3 linked regions of the Arabidopsis thaliana genome follow. The protein of the gene in region 1 interacts with the protein of each later gene in a pairwise test. Each region holds a gene or a part of one and is shown in the gene's direction. Other genes may lie near its edges.

The links. Proteins that work in one complex are often made in the same cells at the same time.
Region 2: the proteins of SARK (region 1) and CHAL interact in a protein complementation assay, tested with the Arabidopsis thaliana proteins (one large-scale study listed by BioGRID).
Region 3: the proteins of SARK (region 1) and PLC2 interact in a protein complementation assay, tested with the Arabidopsis thaliana proteins (one large-scale study listed by BioGRID).

The regions. Positions count from the first base shown.
Region 1 is NC_003075.7:14,907,442-14,913,355, reverse strand, and holds SARK (Leucine-rich repeat protein kinase family protein), read left to right. Parts: upstream 1-1,909; 5' UTR 1,910-2,315; coding exon 2,316-2,427; intron 2,428-2,521; coding exon 2,522-2,654; intron 2,655-2,739; coding exon 2,740-2,811; intron 2,812-2,906; coding exon 2,907-3,050; intron 3,051-3,169; coding exon 3,170-3,241; intron 3,242-3,324; coding exon 3,325-3,384; intron 3,385-3,485; coding exon 3,486-3,586; intron 3,587-3,662; coding exon 3,663-3,794; intron 3,795-3,870; coding exon 3,871-4,215; intron 4,216-4,292; coding exon 4,293-4,672; intron 4,673-4,767; coding exon 4,768-5,163; 3' UTR 5,164-5,414; downstream 5,415-5,914. Other genes in the region: ATG18B (autophagy 18 B-like protein), read left to right, coding at 5,763-5,824.
Region 2 is NC_003071.7:12,939,938-12,944,121, reverse strand, and holds CHAL (allergen-like protein), read left to right. Parts: upstream 1-1,712; 5' UTR 1,713-1,932; coding exon of another isoform or gene 1,933-1,954; coding exon 1,955-2,132; intron 2,133-2,267; coding exon 2,268-2,360; intron 2,361-2,670; coding exon 2,671-2,846; intron 2,847-3,299; coding exon 3,300-3,545; 3' UTR 3,546-3,667; downstream 3,668-4,184. UniProt on the Arabidopsis thaliana protein: Acts primarily as positive regulator of inflorescence growth. Endodermal expression is sufficient for proper inflorescence architecture. Redundantly involved with EPFL4 in procambial development regulation.
Region 3 is NC_003074.8:2,581,845-2,587,598, reverse strand, and holds PLC2 (phospholipase C 2), read left to right. Parts: upstream 1-1,700; 5' UTR 1,701-2,042; coding exon 2,043-2,342; intron 2,343-2,850; coding exon 2,851-3,047; intron 3,048-3,135; coding exon 3,136-3,271; intron 3,272-3,357; coding exon 3,358-3,594; intron 3,595-3,674; coding exon 3,675-3,898; intron 3,899-3,986; coding exon 3,987-4,104; intron 4,105-4,247; coding exon 4,248-4,400; intron 4,401-4,482; coding exon 4,483-4,569; intron 4,570-4,679; coding exon 4,680-4,973; 3' UTR 4,974-5,237; downstream 5,238-5,754. Other genes in the region: AT3G08530 (Clathrin, heavy chain), read left to right, coding at 64-174, 273-428; AT3G08520 (Ribosomal protein L41 family), read right to left, coding at 1,393-1,458, 1,556-1,567; AT3G08505 (zinc finger (CCCH-type/C3HC4-type RING finger) family protein), read left to right, coding at 5,556-5,566, 5,689-5,754. UniProt on the Arabidopsis thaliana protein: The production of the second messenger molecules diacylglycerol (DAG) and inositol 1,4,5-trisphosphate (IP3) is mediated by activated phosphatidylinositol-specific phospholipase C enzymes.

The DNA.
Region 1 (5,914 bases):
AGGTGGGCCAAAATAATGACAAAGAAATTAGAAAGGCGAAAAAGGAAAGAAATCAAAAGTATAGGGACTTATCATAAATAATGTAACAACACAACCTCATCAGGGCAAGTGTGTGGATTCACCTATTTCAGGCATTTGTTACTTGTTGCAAGTTTCTCTTCGTATCACTATCTCATGTTGTTTCGTTTTGACATATTTATACAATAATTTCTTTATATGCGAATCATTAAATATCATTATCATTAAAGTTCAAATTTAGGTAGGGAGATATCAAATATCAAATTTCATCTTATGGTGAAATACTGTTTTCATTAAGATGGATTTCTTTAGAGAAGAAGACAAAAGAGGAAAGAGGATGAAGCTATTTTAGAGTGCATCAGTCCTCTAGCCTGTCACTGGTAGTCCTACTACATTACATCAATGTTCTCCAATTTGTTTTATAAAATATAAATTATTTTTTTACACATAATAAAATTAGAAAATTATTGAATGTAAACCCAAGTCGATTTTGGTCAATTCATCGTCCATGTACAATATGCAGATGTTTCTTTTTAAAAATCTTTATATATAACTTCTATGTAAATTTTTTTTTACCCCTTCTGTACCATTTGCTCTTATCATAGTTTAGCTTACCGTTTAACCAATCCATTTTAATAGAAATAATAGATCTATCATGCCGGTAAAAATTACCAAAAAATATTGGGTTTAGTTGTTAACTAAGGCCCTGTTTGTTTGATCAGTTAGCATTTGCATTCTAATGATCCATTTACATGATTCATTTGAATGGTTTATTTGAATATGTTTGTTTGATTATTTGATATTTTTTCTAAATGATGCATTTAAATGAATATTTTTTTATTTGATTATTTTGTAATTCATCCACATTTTCATTTAGATAAAAATAACTAAAATACTCATGCTTTCACTTTGACAAATGAAAGTATTTTACGGTTTTGGCGGGAAAAATGATTCTACGGTTTTGGCGGGAAAACAAAATTTTGCGGTTTTAGCGGGAAAACAAAATTTTGCAGTTTTAGCGGGAAAACATAATTTTGCGGTTTTGGCGGGAAAACATGATTTTACGGTTTTGACGGAAAAACATGATTTTGCGGTTTTGACGGGAAAAATAATTTTACGGTTTTGGCGGGAAAACATGATTTTACGGTTTTGGCGGGAAAACATGATTTTGCGGTTTTGGCGGAAAAAATAATTTTACGGTTTTCGCGGGAAAACAAAATTTTGCGGTTTTGGCGGGAAAGTATGAATTTAACGTTTTGGCGAGAAAAATGATTTTATGGTTTTTGCGGAGAAAATGAATTTACAATTTTGACGTAAAATAATAGTCCGCGATTTCATGATTCTTAGAATGTTTTTTTGGTTTAATATGTAATTAAAATTTTTATATTAAATTAGAAAGTTATAGAAAATTAACATTATTAAAAGAGGGTATATTTGTCATTTGTTGTTTTTGAGTAAACCATCTCCATTCAAATGGTCCTATCAAGTCTATCCAAATGAGTTTCATAATTTTGCTTAATTTTTAAAAATCATTGAGATGGATCATCCAACTGATTCATCCAAATGGTCTCTTAAATTGTCAAAAGCAAACATCATTTTTCATCTCCATCTAAATAATCCATCTGGATGAAGAAACAAACAGGCCCTAAGTATCGTAATTATATACCGCTTTTTTTTTTTTTGCGTTTTACATCTATTAAATTTTTTGTACTGTTTTAAAACTTAGTCTAATTTAGTTTTAAAATTTATATGTAATTTAGTCTAATTTAGTTTTATATCTATTAATCGGACTTATTAAGACTAAATTAGAAAAACATATATGGTTCCAAATATACAAAAAAATTGGCATTAAGAAGAACAAAAAAGACAAAGAAAAAGAGTGAGAGAGAGACTGGAGTAGACCAGCATCCACCATCCCGGGTCCGACAGTCCGTATCAGCATCCCCTGATTCACTCTCTACAAATGTCACTCTCTTGCCTCTCTCTCCCTCTCATTTAAACGTTTTTCGGCTTAAACCTTTTCTCAGCAACAAACTCATCTCCTCTGAGAGAGACTGTTTGTTTGAGAAGAAGACGAACGTAAAGACTTGTTTACTAAACCCGAGATTTCTTTCTTTCTTGTTTTCAAAATAAAAAAGCAGAGATCTCTTCTCCTTCTTCTTCTTTTTGCTTTGTTTGCTTTTGCTTTCTCTTCTTTTTCTATGTGTGTTTGTGGTCACTACCCCGAAAAAAAATAAAGTAATGCTGTCTCTCTTCTCTTCAAAATTATTGTTAACCTCTCGTAACTAAAATCTTCCATGGTAGTAGTAACAAAGAAGACCATGAAGATTCAAATTCATCTCCTTTACTCGTTCTTGTTCCTCTGTTTCTCTACTCTCACTCTATCTTCTGAGCCCAGAAACCCTGAAGGTAAAATTTGCTTCTTTTATTGTTACTTTAGTTTAAAAATTGGATCTTTTTTCTCAACTCTATAACAAAAATCCGTTTTTTTTTTTTTTTACAGTTGAGGCGTTGATAAGTATAAGGAACAATTTGCATGATCCTCATGGAGCTTTGAACAATTGGGACGAGTTTTCAGTTGATCCTTGTAGCTGGGCTATGATCACTTGCTCTCCCGACAACCTCGTCATTGGACTGTGAGCTTTCTTTTCTTCCGAGTTTGTTTTCTGCTTTTAGAGTTCATTAATGGCGACAATTTCTCTCTCTATCTCTCAATGGTAGAGGAGCGCCGAGCCAGTCTCTCTCGGGAGGTTTATCTGAGTCTATCGGAAATCTCACAAATCTCCGACAAGTGTAAGATTACGACATCCTCGGATCTTGTTTTCTATAATATAAAGTTTGTCTTTTTTGCTTGTTTCTCAATTCCAATTTTTTTGCTTTGTTTGAAGGTCATTGCAAAATAACAACATCTCCGGCAAAATTCCACCGGAGCTCGGTTTTCTACCCAAATTACAAACCTTGGATCTTTCCAACAACCGATTCTCCGGTGACATCCCTGTTTCCATCGACCAGCTAAGCAGCCTTCAATATCTGTGAGCTTAGCTTTGCTTCTCTCCTCTGTTCTTCAATCTTGTTTACAATGTAATGATGATTTGTTTTCATCGGTTCATTAATCATCTTAATAACCTCGTACGAATTGAATTTCCAATAGGAGACTCAACAACAACTCTTTGTCTGGGCCCTTCCCTGCTTCTTTGTCCCAAATTCCTCACCTCTCCTTCTTGTGAGTGTATACAGATTTGTCCTTTCACCTACTGAAGTGTTTTGTTTTTTTTTGTCTGAAATTTAAATTCTTTTGAAACTCAGGGACTTGTCTTACAACAATCTCAGTGGCCCTGTTCCTAAATTCCCAGCAAGGACTTTCAAGTATAATAAACCTTAAGTTTCAAAATTTGAAGTGATTTCACAAATTCTTGTAGTTGAAGTCAAGACTAAGTCTTGCTTCTGCTTTCCTTTTGAATTTGTAGCGTTGCTGGTAATCCTTTGATTTGTAGAAGCAACCCACCTGAGATTTGTTCTGGATCAATCAATGCAAGTCCACTTTCTGTTTCTTTGAGCTCTTCATCAGGTAAAAGTCTCGTTCTTGCAGTGTTTTCATCATTGTAATGATCCTTTCATTAATCAATACTTGAGTGTGTGTGTAGGACGCAGGTCTAATAGATTGGCAATAGCTCTTAGTGTAAGCCTTGGCTCTGTTGTTATACTAGTCCTTGCTCTCGGGTCCTTTTGTTGGTACCGAAAGAAACAAAGAAGGCTACTGATCCTTAACTTAAACGGTTCGTCGATTTGAGCTTGTTGCTTATATAACTTTGATTCAGGAAGATGTTGAGTTTTTAGTTTTGCTTTTAGCAGATAAACAAGAGGAAGGGCTTCAAGGACTTGGGAATCTAAGAAGCTTCACATTCAGAGAACTCCATGTTTATACAGATGGTTTCAGTTCCAAGAACATTCTCGGCGCTGGTGGATTCGGTAATGTGTACAGAGGCAAGCTTGGAGATGGGACAATGGTGGCAGTGAAACGGTTGAAGGATATTAATGGAACCTCAGGGGATTCACAGTTTCGTATGGAGCTAGAGATGATTAGCTTAGCTGTTCATAAGAATCTGCTTCGGTTAATTGGTTATTGCGCAACTTCTGGTGAAAGGCTTCTTGTTTACCCTTACATGCCTAATGGAAGCGTCGCCTCTAAGCTTAAATGTTAGTATAATGTCTTGAACCATCAGTCCAAATCTCATTTTCGATGAGTTTTAACCAATTTTGTTTAACTGTTGTAGCTAAACCGGCATTGGACTGGAACATGAGGAAGAGGATAGCAATTGGTGCAGCGAGAGGTTTGTTGTATCTACATGAGCAATGTGATCCCAAGATCATTCATAGAGATGTAAAGGCAGCTAATATTCTCTTAGACGAGTGCTTTGAAGCTGTTGTTGGTGACTTTGGACTCGCAAAGCTCCTTAACCATGCGGATTCTCATGTCACAACTGCGGTCCGTGGTACGGTTGGCCACATTGCACCTGAATATCTCTCCACTGGTCAGTCTTCTGAGAAAACCGATGTGTTTGGGTTCGGTATACTATTGCTCGAGCTCATAACCGGACTGAGAGCTCTTGAGTTTGGTAAAACCGTTAGCCAGAAAGGAGCTATGCTTGAATGGGTAAGAAATGACACTCAGAAGTACACTTTCTTGATTACTTCATAAGATCAACCAAATTAACATTTTCTCCGGATGCTGTTGTAACATTGGTTTAGGTGAGGAAATTACATGAAGAGATGAAAGTAGAGGAACTATTGGATCGAGAACTCGGAACTAACTACGATAAGATTGAAGTTGGAGAGATGTTGCAAGTGGCTTTGCTATGCACACAATATCTGCCAGCTCATCGTCCTAAAATGTCTGAAGTTGTTTTGATGCTTGAAGGCGATGGATTAGCCGAGAGATGGGCTGCTTCGCATAACCATTCACATTTCTACCATGCCAATATCTCTTTCAAGACAATCTCTTCTCTGTCTACTACTTCTGTCTCAAGGCTTGACGCACATTGCAATGATCCAACTTATCAAATGTTTGGATCTTCGGCTTTCGATGATGACGATGATCATCAGCCTTTAGATTCCTTTGCCATGGAACTATCCGGTCCAAGATAACACAATGAAAGAAAGATATCATTTTTACGATGGATCAAACAATCCAATGAAAAAAGCTCTACACTTTTATAATATAGACATGTATATGGTGGTGAAAATTGATGAAAAATATCTCTACAGTTTGAGATTATGTGTTCGTTATGTTGATGATGTATATATTAACTTTTAATTGTGAGTTTCTATGATTATTTTGCTTCCTTTAACATTATGATGATGACAAAGGAAGAAACTATGAGACTGATTTGTTTGAGTCTTTTCTTTTGACCAGAATCTGATTTGCTCTCTCTCACACATACTCAAAATCGTATCAAACAATTCCTGAGAATTTATCTTTTGTAGTTATCATAAGCTGCTGCTTTGTGTTTGTGGTCCTTTAAGCTTAATGTGTTGCGACTTTTGTCCAACTTTGACTCTCATGTGTCATTTTCAGTTCTCATCACAAACCAAACAAAGCTTATCCCACTCAATCGAAAACGTCGTCGTTCTGAAAAGTAACAGAAGAGAAGAAACGACAGCGTTTTGAGAAGAAGAAGACGAAAAACAGAACATATATAAAAAGCAGAAAACATTAAGACAGCTGCTTAAACAATTTGGGAGACATGGCGAATCTGTCCTCTCTTCCTTCTCCTATCTATTGTGTTTCTTTCAATCAAGATAACAGGTGAGTTCTTCTTATTTATTTGAAAATCGTTGAAGATAGCGAATTCGATTCTCTTAGTAGATTTTCGAGGAAAAGTTCTTCTCAGATAAC
Region 2 (4,184 bases), on another chromosome or scaffold:
TTGATGGTTATGTTTAAGTGATCAATCAACAATGGAAATTTCGCTTTCTTTCAAGGCTATCAGCTATGTTTTGGGGTTTCCAAATAACTTAATCAAGAAAAATAAAACAAAAAAAAATTGATATTGTCCGATCTAATATCACACAATCTTAAATGTACAAAAAAGCTTCTAAACCCACGTCAGAATTAATATTTCTCGACACATGATCAAAGAAATAATTTTAAGAGACATAGCCTTTAGTTATAACAAAATTATAGTTTAAGAATATAAAATGTAAATCAAAAACCTATATATATGTAAAGAACATATGGGATTTTGTTTAACATTTTATATTACTTCTCTTCATCTTAAGTTTCTTTCTAATGGACTAATGGTTATGTCACATTTTGAGCTCTATTTTTTTTTTTTTTTTGAACTCCGTTAATTGTAACAAAAAAAAAACTTTCAGATTTTGTTTTATAGAAACTTAAGGCGAGACAGCTTTGTTGGGCATGTTACCTTTGATTTCTTTCCCTCCACCAATCACAAAACTAGTATATTAGATATGATCATATGAACCATTAATTTTACACAATTTTTTCAGTTGTGGTTCACTATGTCCTCACGAACGTTCAATTGTATAGTTGTAATCAGACGTATTCTACCAACACTAGATATAATATTACCAATTCAACATAAAAATAAAATATTTGGTATTAGGATGATTATATTGTTGCATAATCTAGACCGCATAAAAATGGTATTGTCAAACGTAACAAGAAATTTTGAAGCATTGATATATGTACATTTGATAACCTATAAATTTTTCCAAAATATTAGTTTCTCTCATGCTTCATGCTAAAATCATTAAATATTTTGTTGTCTAATAGCTTTCTTTTAGAATTAAAAAAAAAAAAGAATTTACTAATCCCATTGTTAAAAGTTTATACTGCAACTTGTTTGCCATTTTTATATATATATTTAGTACCGTTTCAACAGTTATTGTTTTTTCTATTTATACTATTAAGAATCTTTAGTATATAACCTTTGCTTGAATTGATAGGAGTAAAAAGTTATTGTTAAAACTACATATATAAATGTGTAATTTAGGAATGAACATGGAACCCTTCTTACACATTTGTTGGGATGTTTTGTCCATACCTCCTTGCCTTTAGAATCAAACTCATATATCATCCTACGGCCCTCCCTTACTCATCTCTCTTCAAATCAATCACCTCTCATCTCTCTACCTTAATTATGATTTTTTTTTTTAAGTTTCTACCAAGCAGTCATTTCCCCCCCCCCCCCCCCAACAATAATAATAAACTAAGTGAAACCCTAATCTTGAGTACTTATGATATGTTAAACCCTACACACATGCATATGAAAGAACTTAATCAAGAAATATAACTACATATAAAATATACAATAGATAAACATATGAGTGTGTATGTGTATATATATGTATAGCTTGGAAGATTGCTAAAAGCAATTTCTGGTGAAAGGAAGGGTACAATGACAGAGAGAATAGGGTGCAGGAGAATCTAACTCCCAAACTTAGCAATGCTTAGGTACCTTTCTTAATTACTTCTCTCTTCTTACACTCTTTCTCTCATTTCCCACTCATATACTATTTTATCTTCTTATTTCTTTTCTTATTATCCTTTTATATATAAATTTCCATATTTAATCACACATTTTTGCAGTTAACCCCTCCTTGTTCTATCTCTCATAGTCGACTCCATTTGCTCTTTCTCACTCTCAACCACTCCCACTACTCACTCTCGTTTTTTGAGAAAACCCAAATCATAAAAACCAAAAGACATTCAATATTCCTTTTCAATAATCTTTTCTTGATTTCCATTTTCATCTCAAGTTTTTTAAAAACCCACCAAGTTTTTTTTTTCGCATGGATGAGGAGATCATAACTAATCTCTGCTAGCCTCTTCTTAGGTTTTCAGAAAGTTTCGTAATTATGGGTTTCGAGAGAACATCATCATCATTATCATTATTATCATCATCATTACCATCATCATTACAACCATCAGAAAACACGAGAGCCAAGTTCAGTCTCTTCTATTTATTGCTACTCTTCTTCGTCCTCTGTGTCATTGCCACCTTCACTATAACTCCCACTTCGACTTCTTCTCCATGTAAGCCATCTTTCTTTTTCTCGTTATCATATTAATTATCAACTTTCTCAAACATTAATATCTTAGAATATTTTTGGTTACGTAACATAAATTATTACAGTACCATTCATATATTATCTTGTTGTAAAAATGCAGATAATAGGAATTCTAACTCTGGGACACTAGGGAACTTCTATGCAAAGGTTCGTAAACTGTTTATACCTCTTACTCTCTTGCGTGATCTAACAAGTAACAATTGTTTTTGTTTTTTTGCTGTTGAGTCAACAATTAGTTAGGAAATAGGAATCAAAAACCGTGTTAACTTCCTTTTTTTTGGCATAACTATAACCACATAAAATCCAAAAAAAGCTTAGTTTCTATTTTCTCCTGATTCAAGCATCTTTGGAGGACAAGATTGATGTTGATTCATCATTAAACACACTTTAAAAATAATATAAGCTTTTTTTTTTTTTTCCATAAATAATATAAGCTTATAATGCGGGGTTCTCTAAAAGGACTACACAAACAAAAGGGTTGTGGCTAAACTGCGCTTGAACAGTCAGCGACTGTGACGGCATGTCGAGACTGACTGGGCATGCAGAGATGCCATGTACTCCTAAAGAAATTCTCAGCCGTCGGATTGGTTTCAGCGCACACGAGGACAAGGACAGTACTCAACTTTTGGTTCGTTCACCACTCGTGGGACCCTGCCTTGCTTACGATCTCGATCGAGTGGTAATATTAGCCCCCACGGTGCACGTTAACGTATGACAGGCTCTTGGAACTTCTCAATCTCTCTGCCCTTTTTGGTAATGTGCGTAGCGCTTTTTCCGGAGCGGTTTTCCCGCGTCTTGTCTCACATCCCCAACCCTGTCTTAAAAATGTTTTTTACCTAAACTGCGCATTTTAACAATAATATGCGTATGTCAGCATGAAATCGCACGTTAGTAACGCAGTCCTCTCACTATCTTATGTTGATAGCAGCTGAAATTGAGTTCACTAGAAGATACTAATTATTGAACGTTAATTAGAAAATACTAATTATTCTTGATTAACCATATTGTTTGGTTTGTTTTACTAGATGTATTATCCTAATGAAGAAAATAATAAATTAGGATATGTATACGTTTGAATATATATTTAGTAATGAAAAATGTGATAATATGTACGTTTTGAGTATGTGTTCAGGAGGAAGGCAAGAGTACCGTAGTGATAAAGAAGACTAGGAAGATCGGTGACCGGAGCAAGGAGGCAGAGCTACGGAGGATTCTAAGGGGATTGGGCTCATCTCCACCACGGTGCTCCTCCAAGTGTGGAAGATGCACTCCGTGCAAGCCTGTTCACGTTCCGGTGCCTCCCGGCACGCCTGTCACCGCCGAATACTACCCGGAAGCTTGGAGATGCAAGTGCGGCAACAAGTTGTACATGCCATGATCTTTTATAATATATATACTCACATATATACATTATATATATGAATTATATGCATGTTCGTAGTTATATCTTGCCTCTACTCCAAATATTTATTATACATTGACATGTTGCTAGGACAACCTCAACGTGAAACTTTTGCTGATAAATTGATTGATGATGCTCGTATAGACGATATGACGTTCTTAGCATATGATTTCGTATATGGTGACATAATTCATGAATAATATCAACATTTGGTGTCAAAAGGAAACATATTTCTTGTCTTCTTCTTCAACGTACTTGCTTATAATGAACAAAAAATAAAAAAACGTACTCGCTTTCTAATAAGTATCACATAGGTTTAGGCTCATAAACATATGGACTAACATAAATAAACCAAAAGCCCAATAACATTACTCTTAGCATATACATATAAGTAAACTATTAACATCTGTCTGCGGGACTCGTTGATTTCATTTAAATTCTGTAGTCTCAGCTCGTTCAATTTAATCTATTCGTACACACTGATAATATTCAAGAAAACATATGCTAACGTATAACGTATTACGTATCCAAATACACCTTACACCACTCACACATAGCCCATATATAAAAGTTTGAAGGATTTAAAGTCGCAGACTCGCGGTCATTTTTTTTCTT
Region 3 (5,754 bases), on another chromosome or scaffold:
GGTTGGAACCATTATTTGAACGCTATGATGAATTCTCTTCTTCCTGTCGTTTTTTCTTTGCAGTTTATCCGAGAGTACTCTGGCAAAGTGGATGAGCTAATAAAGGACAAGCTTGAGGCACAAAAAGAGGTGAAGGCCAAAGAGCAGGAAGAGAAGGATGTCATATCCCAACAGGTACTACTTATGACACAGCTACACTGGATATCATCCGACTCTTTATCTTGACAGATACACTTAAAGGAGTAATATGTTTTTCTTTTGTTTTTAAACAGAACATGTATGCCCAAATGTTGCCACTTGCTTTACCTGCACCACCGATGCCAGGAATGGGAGGTGGTGGTGGGTATGGTCCTCCACCACAAATGGGCGGTATGCCAGGAATGCCTCCCATGCCACCATATGGAATGCCACCGATGGGCGGCTACTAAAGCAGACCAGCTTATGCTTTAATATCCGCATTTGGAAAAGTATCAGTAGCGCATAGAGTCGGCCCAATTTGCTAGGGCGGTGTTCATCTGCTAGCTAGCTTATATGTCTGACCAGAATTTGTCTGGGAATAATGTGGATAATAACCTCCTTTCGTTGTAATATTCTGTTGGGTTTAGGTGAGTAATTTTTTTTTAACTTTTTGTCAAAAGCCATTTTTGAGTATATATACTCAACTCTCTTACTCATATGAGTTTTGTAGTTGTACTTTCCTTCAGCATTTCATTCCATTCGACTTTCGATTTATTAAACCGTTGATCAGTTTCACCTTGTTGTTATTCATATATGAAACAATTAATATCGAGAAGGACTAAATAAATCCTTCATGAGAATTTGGTTGACCTCAGAACAATCATCATCATTCATCAGCATCAGAAAGACATAGATGCAACGTGAATCTCATTTTCATGAAATAATAATGAAATCTTAGGGTAGGTTTATTTCACATGTACACATAAAAACCTAAGTACCAATAGTCATCTGAACATCATGAACTAAAAATTGCATCCCTCCGTAAACACACATTTCTGCTACATTACTAAGAAAACGTTCTGGATAGAAAGATTCAATCAACCCAACATACTTTGTTTTTATTAGTATACTTAGATGACATACAAATTCACTTGGTATTTCTAATATCAAAAGTTCAACCTTCACCAGGATAAAACTCATCCAGCGCAGACACTAACTATAGATAATCAATTAAACCAAAATGATAAGCAGATTGAAGAACTTTAAGGAGAATCAGTAACTCATAAGGATCATTCCATGTAATAAACATAATTCTAATAGAAAACATAGATTCGATTTGGTCCAACAAAACATTCAAATTGAAAATTGCAAAACCAACAAAACTCACATAAGAGTTGGTTCTAAAAAGAAGAAAGACAAAACAAACTCCCGAATCTACTTAGATCGCTGTCTCATCTTTCGTCTCTTCCTCTTCAATCTCCTCATACGCTTCTTCTTCCACTGCAACACACAAACACACAAACCATAAAGATCCTACACACTACTTCAATTTCTCATCACTAAAAAATCCATTAAACAATCAAAACCCATTACTAACCTTGGCTCTCATGCTGATTTCGCAGAAGCTGTCTCCTTCGTTCCTCTGATTATTTGTTTAGCTTTACAGGATGAGGAGCGGCGGAGATGAATAGAAAGATTTTGTAGCTTACGCTCTTATTCCTCCTTTAAACAACAACAAAACCCTAGTAACTAACTTAATGGGCTTTATTATTTCAAAAGCCCAATAAAACCCAAATGGATAAGAATTTGCCAGAGGGGATATTCGCACAGAGAGAGAAAGAAGATCTTTTTCCGACAAGGTTCAAGATCGATTAAACATTACATGGAGGAGATTCACTAGAAAGAAAGGAAAAAAATCTCTTTGTCTTTGCAGATGCGACACGCAAAACGACGATTCTGATCTCGCTTGTCTGATTTCAAAAACAATGAGAAGATAGTTCTGATTATATAACACACAAACCCTACTTCATTCCTTCATCATCGTCTCCAATCATTACCCAAAGATCCGTCTTTTTCTTTACTTCATGTCGAAGCAAACGTACAAAGTGTGTTTCTGCTTTCGCCGGAGGTTTCGTTACACTGCATCGGAGGCACCGCGTGAGATCAAGACCATTTTCGAAAAGTACTCAGAGAATGGAGTTATGACCGTTGATCATCTCCACAGGTTTCTGATCGATGTTCAGAAACAAGATAAAGCCACCAGAGAAGATGCACAGTCAATTATCAATTCTGCATCTTCTCTTCTTCATCGTAATGGTCTCCATCTTGATGCTTTCTTCAAGTACCTCTTTGGTGATAATAACCCTCCTCTTGCTCTCCATAAGGTAATTTTCGTGTTATTTCGATTTTATGAGTTCAGAATCTGAAGTAAACTATGATTGATTGATATAAGAAACTCAGATTTTGGATTGGGATTTTTCGTTTTCCTTGTTTGGTAATTGAGGAAATGGTGTGAGGAAGTGAGATTTTTGGAATAATTTGTTTGAATGTTTCACTGAGTCTAATCAAGAGTTCGAACTTCGAAGCTGCTGTTTGGTAGAAAGTCGTAGGAGCTATGTACTTTTTAGGTGTTGTGGAATAAGTCTGATTCAAGAATTTGAAGCAATAGAATTGTTTTTCTTTTTATGTCTCAAAAAAAAAAAAAAAGTTGAGAAAGTAACATATCTAGGAATGTGACATTTACTCTATTAGGAACTCTGACACAAAAATCCATGATACAAGTAATTAATATTTTTACAATTCCGGCTATACATGTAATTGTGACTCAATTGTGCTAGCTTTTATTTTCAGATTGATTATAGACTTATCTCTAATGAATTTGTGGTGTTTCAGGTGCATCATGACATGGATGCTCCTATATCGCATTATTTCATATTCACTGGTCATAATTCTTATCTGACTGGTAATCAGCTGAGCAGTGACTGTAGTGAGGTACCTATTATTGATGCGTTGAAGAAAGGTGTTAGAGTCATTGAATTGGATATATGGCCCAATTCCAACAAAGACGATATTGATGTTCTTCACGGAATGTATAATTTTGCTTCAAATTTATTTCGAAAAACAAGTCAAGGTTAGGTGCTTGGCGTTTAACTTGTTTACTGAACCATTCTTAAACAGGACTCTCACTACACCTGTGGGGTTGATCAAATGTCTCAAAGCTATCAGAGCACATGCCTTTGATGTATCTGACTATCCTGTTGTTGTAACTCTTGAAGATCATCTTACTCCAGATCTTCAGTCTAAAGTTGCTGAGGTAGCTTTTTATTTTGCATTTCTTTCTTTGCTGCTTTAATAGATGAGTACATTGGTTTTGAGATGTGTTTTCTTGTTGTATGATAGATGGTTACTGAGATATTTGGGGAAATTCTGTTTACTCCTCCTGTGGGAGAATCTTTGAAGGAGTTCCCATCGCCAAACTCTTTAAAAAGACGTATTATCATCTCAACCAAACCCCCAAAAGAGTACAAGGAAGGAAAAGATGTGGAAGTGGTGCAGAAAGGTAAAGACTTGGGGGATGAAGAAGTTTGGGGAAGAGAAGTTCCGAGCTTTATTCAGAGGAACAAAAGTGAAGCTAAGGTGTGTACGAAGACAAATCATTTTCATTCTGTTCTGTTGCTGTTCATGGACAAACATGTTAGTTTTCTTTCTTGTTGCAGGATGACTTAGATGGAAATGATGATGATGACGATGATGATGATGAAGACAAGTCTAAGATTAATGCACCACCCCAGTATAAACATTTGATTGCAATCCATGCTGGGAAACCAAAAGGCGGAATTACTGAGTGTTTAAAGGTAGATCCTGACAAGGTTAGACGCCTTAGCTTAAGCGAAGAACAACTTGAAAAGGCAGCAGAAAAATATGCGAAGCAGATTGTGAGGTATAGTCATATTATGTTTTTATGTTTCTAAGTAATAGTTGCAGTTTGTCAACTCAATATGAATCCTGTTAATCATGGTGTGGCGCAGGTTTACTCAGCACAATTTGCTGAGGATATACCCAAAAGGAACTAGAGTCACATCATCAAATTACAACCCGTTGGTTGGCTGGAGCCACGGTGCTCAAATGGTGGCTTTCAATATGCAGGTATCTCCTTCTGCTATATTACCAACTTCTTTCTACGTAGTAGTAAAACTTCTAGTTATTTTGGAGGAGCTATGTTCCATCATTTTACAGGACATCAACCTTATTCCTCAGCTGATTTGATTGTGATCTTTTTCCATGTACAGGGGTATGGAAGATCATTGTGGCTAATGCAGGGAATGTTTAGAGCCAATGGCGGATGTGGCTACATCAAGAAACCTGACCTTCTGCTGAAAAGTGGTTCGGATAGTGACATATTTGACCCAAAAGCTACTCTACCTGTGAAAACAACACTTAGGGTGAGATATCTGATTCTCTGGTTGGTCTTTCTTTTACCAATTCAAATCCGATCAAACTCAGTGAACTTATTCTTTCCCTTAGGTAACTGTATACATGGGAGAAGGCTGGTACTTTGATTTCCGCCACACACACTTTGACCAATATTCACCGCCTGACTTCTATACAAGGGTCAATTTTTGATTCCCTGCCTTAAACCTCACACAAATGTTTTGAGATAGAACTGTTTCTTGTCTCTTATGCTTGCAATATAACAATTTGAGCTTTTGATGCATATTCAGGTTGGGATAGCTGGAGTTCCAGGGGATACAGTAATGAAGAAGACGAAAACACTGGAGGATAATTGGATACCAGCTTGGGATGAGGTGTTTGAGTTCCCATTAACCGTTCCAGAGCTGGCCCTGCTACGATTAGAAGTGCATGAGTATGACATGTCAGAGAAAGATGATTTTGGAGGACAGACATGCTTACCGGTTTGGGAGCTAAGCGAAGGAATAAGAGCATTTCCTTTACATAGCCGGAAAGGAGAGAAGTACAAATCCGTTAAGCTTCTCGTGAAGGTGGAGTTTGTGTGAGACATGATTAAGAAAGATACAGCATTTAAACTTGTCTGGTAGGTTTGAGTGCCACAGAGTTTGTGAATTTGGAGGATTTGTATGTGTGAGAGAGAATGTATGCTTGATTTGTTGTTTGTAATATTATGTACATAAAAGACGAAAGTGAGAGAGAGAGAGACGGTCTTGTATCGTGTGTTGTTGTATTATTATGTAGTAGTCTCGTGTAACACTTGAATCGTATGATGATTTGTGGTTTTTGTGTAACAAGTGTGTTTTAAAACTTGTTTGATTCCATTCCACCAAGAAGGCTTCAAAGAATTTTCTTATGTATCACATAAAACTGATCGAATTTCCATAAACATAACCAATCACACCCCATAAAACAAAATTGGCCAAAAAGAAAAGAGAAAGGATATTTTAGTAAATGAAAGAGAGAGGTGGTGGTGGAGGTGGAGGAAGCGCGCTCTATCTCAAAAACGTTGGGGTCTGCTTGGTCCTCAACAATTGAAAACCGTACAAATTCAATTTCTTCACATAAAGCTCTCTCTTCCTTCTCCATTCTTCCACCCTTTTTTTTCTTCTCTCCGCACAAATCCCCAAATGTCCGATAGGTATCGTAATCCCCCAACTTCTCGATTCATCAAACTCTTCAATTTTGTGTCTCTTTGATTGGTGATAAAGATTGATTCTTTCGTTTCTGGGGACGATGATTCATTTGATTTCTTTTTTGTAGGATACTGTGCAAGTTCTTTGTCCATGGCTCGTGCTTGAAAGGCGAAAATTGCGAATTTTCCCATGA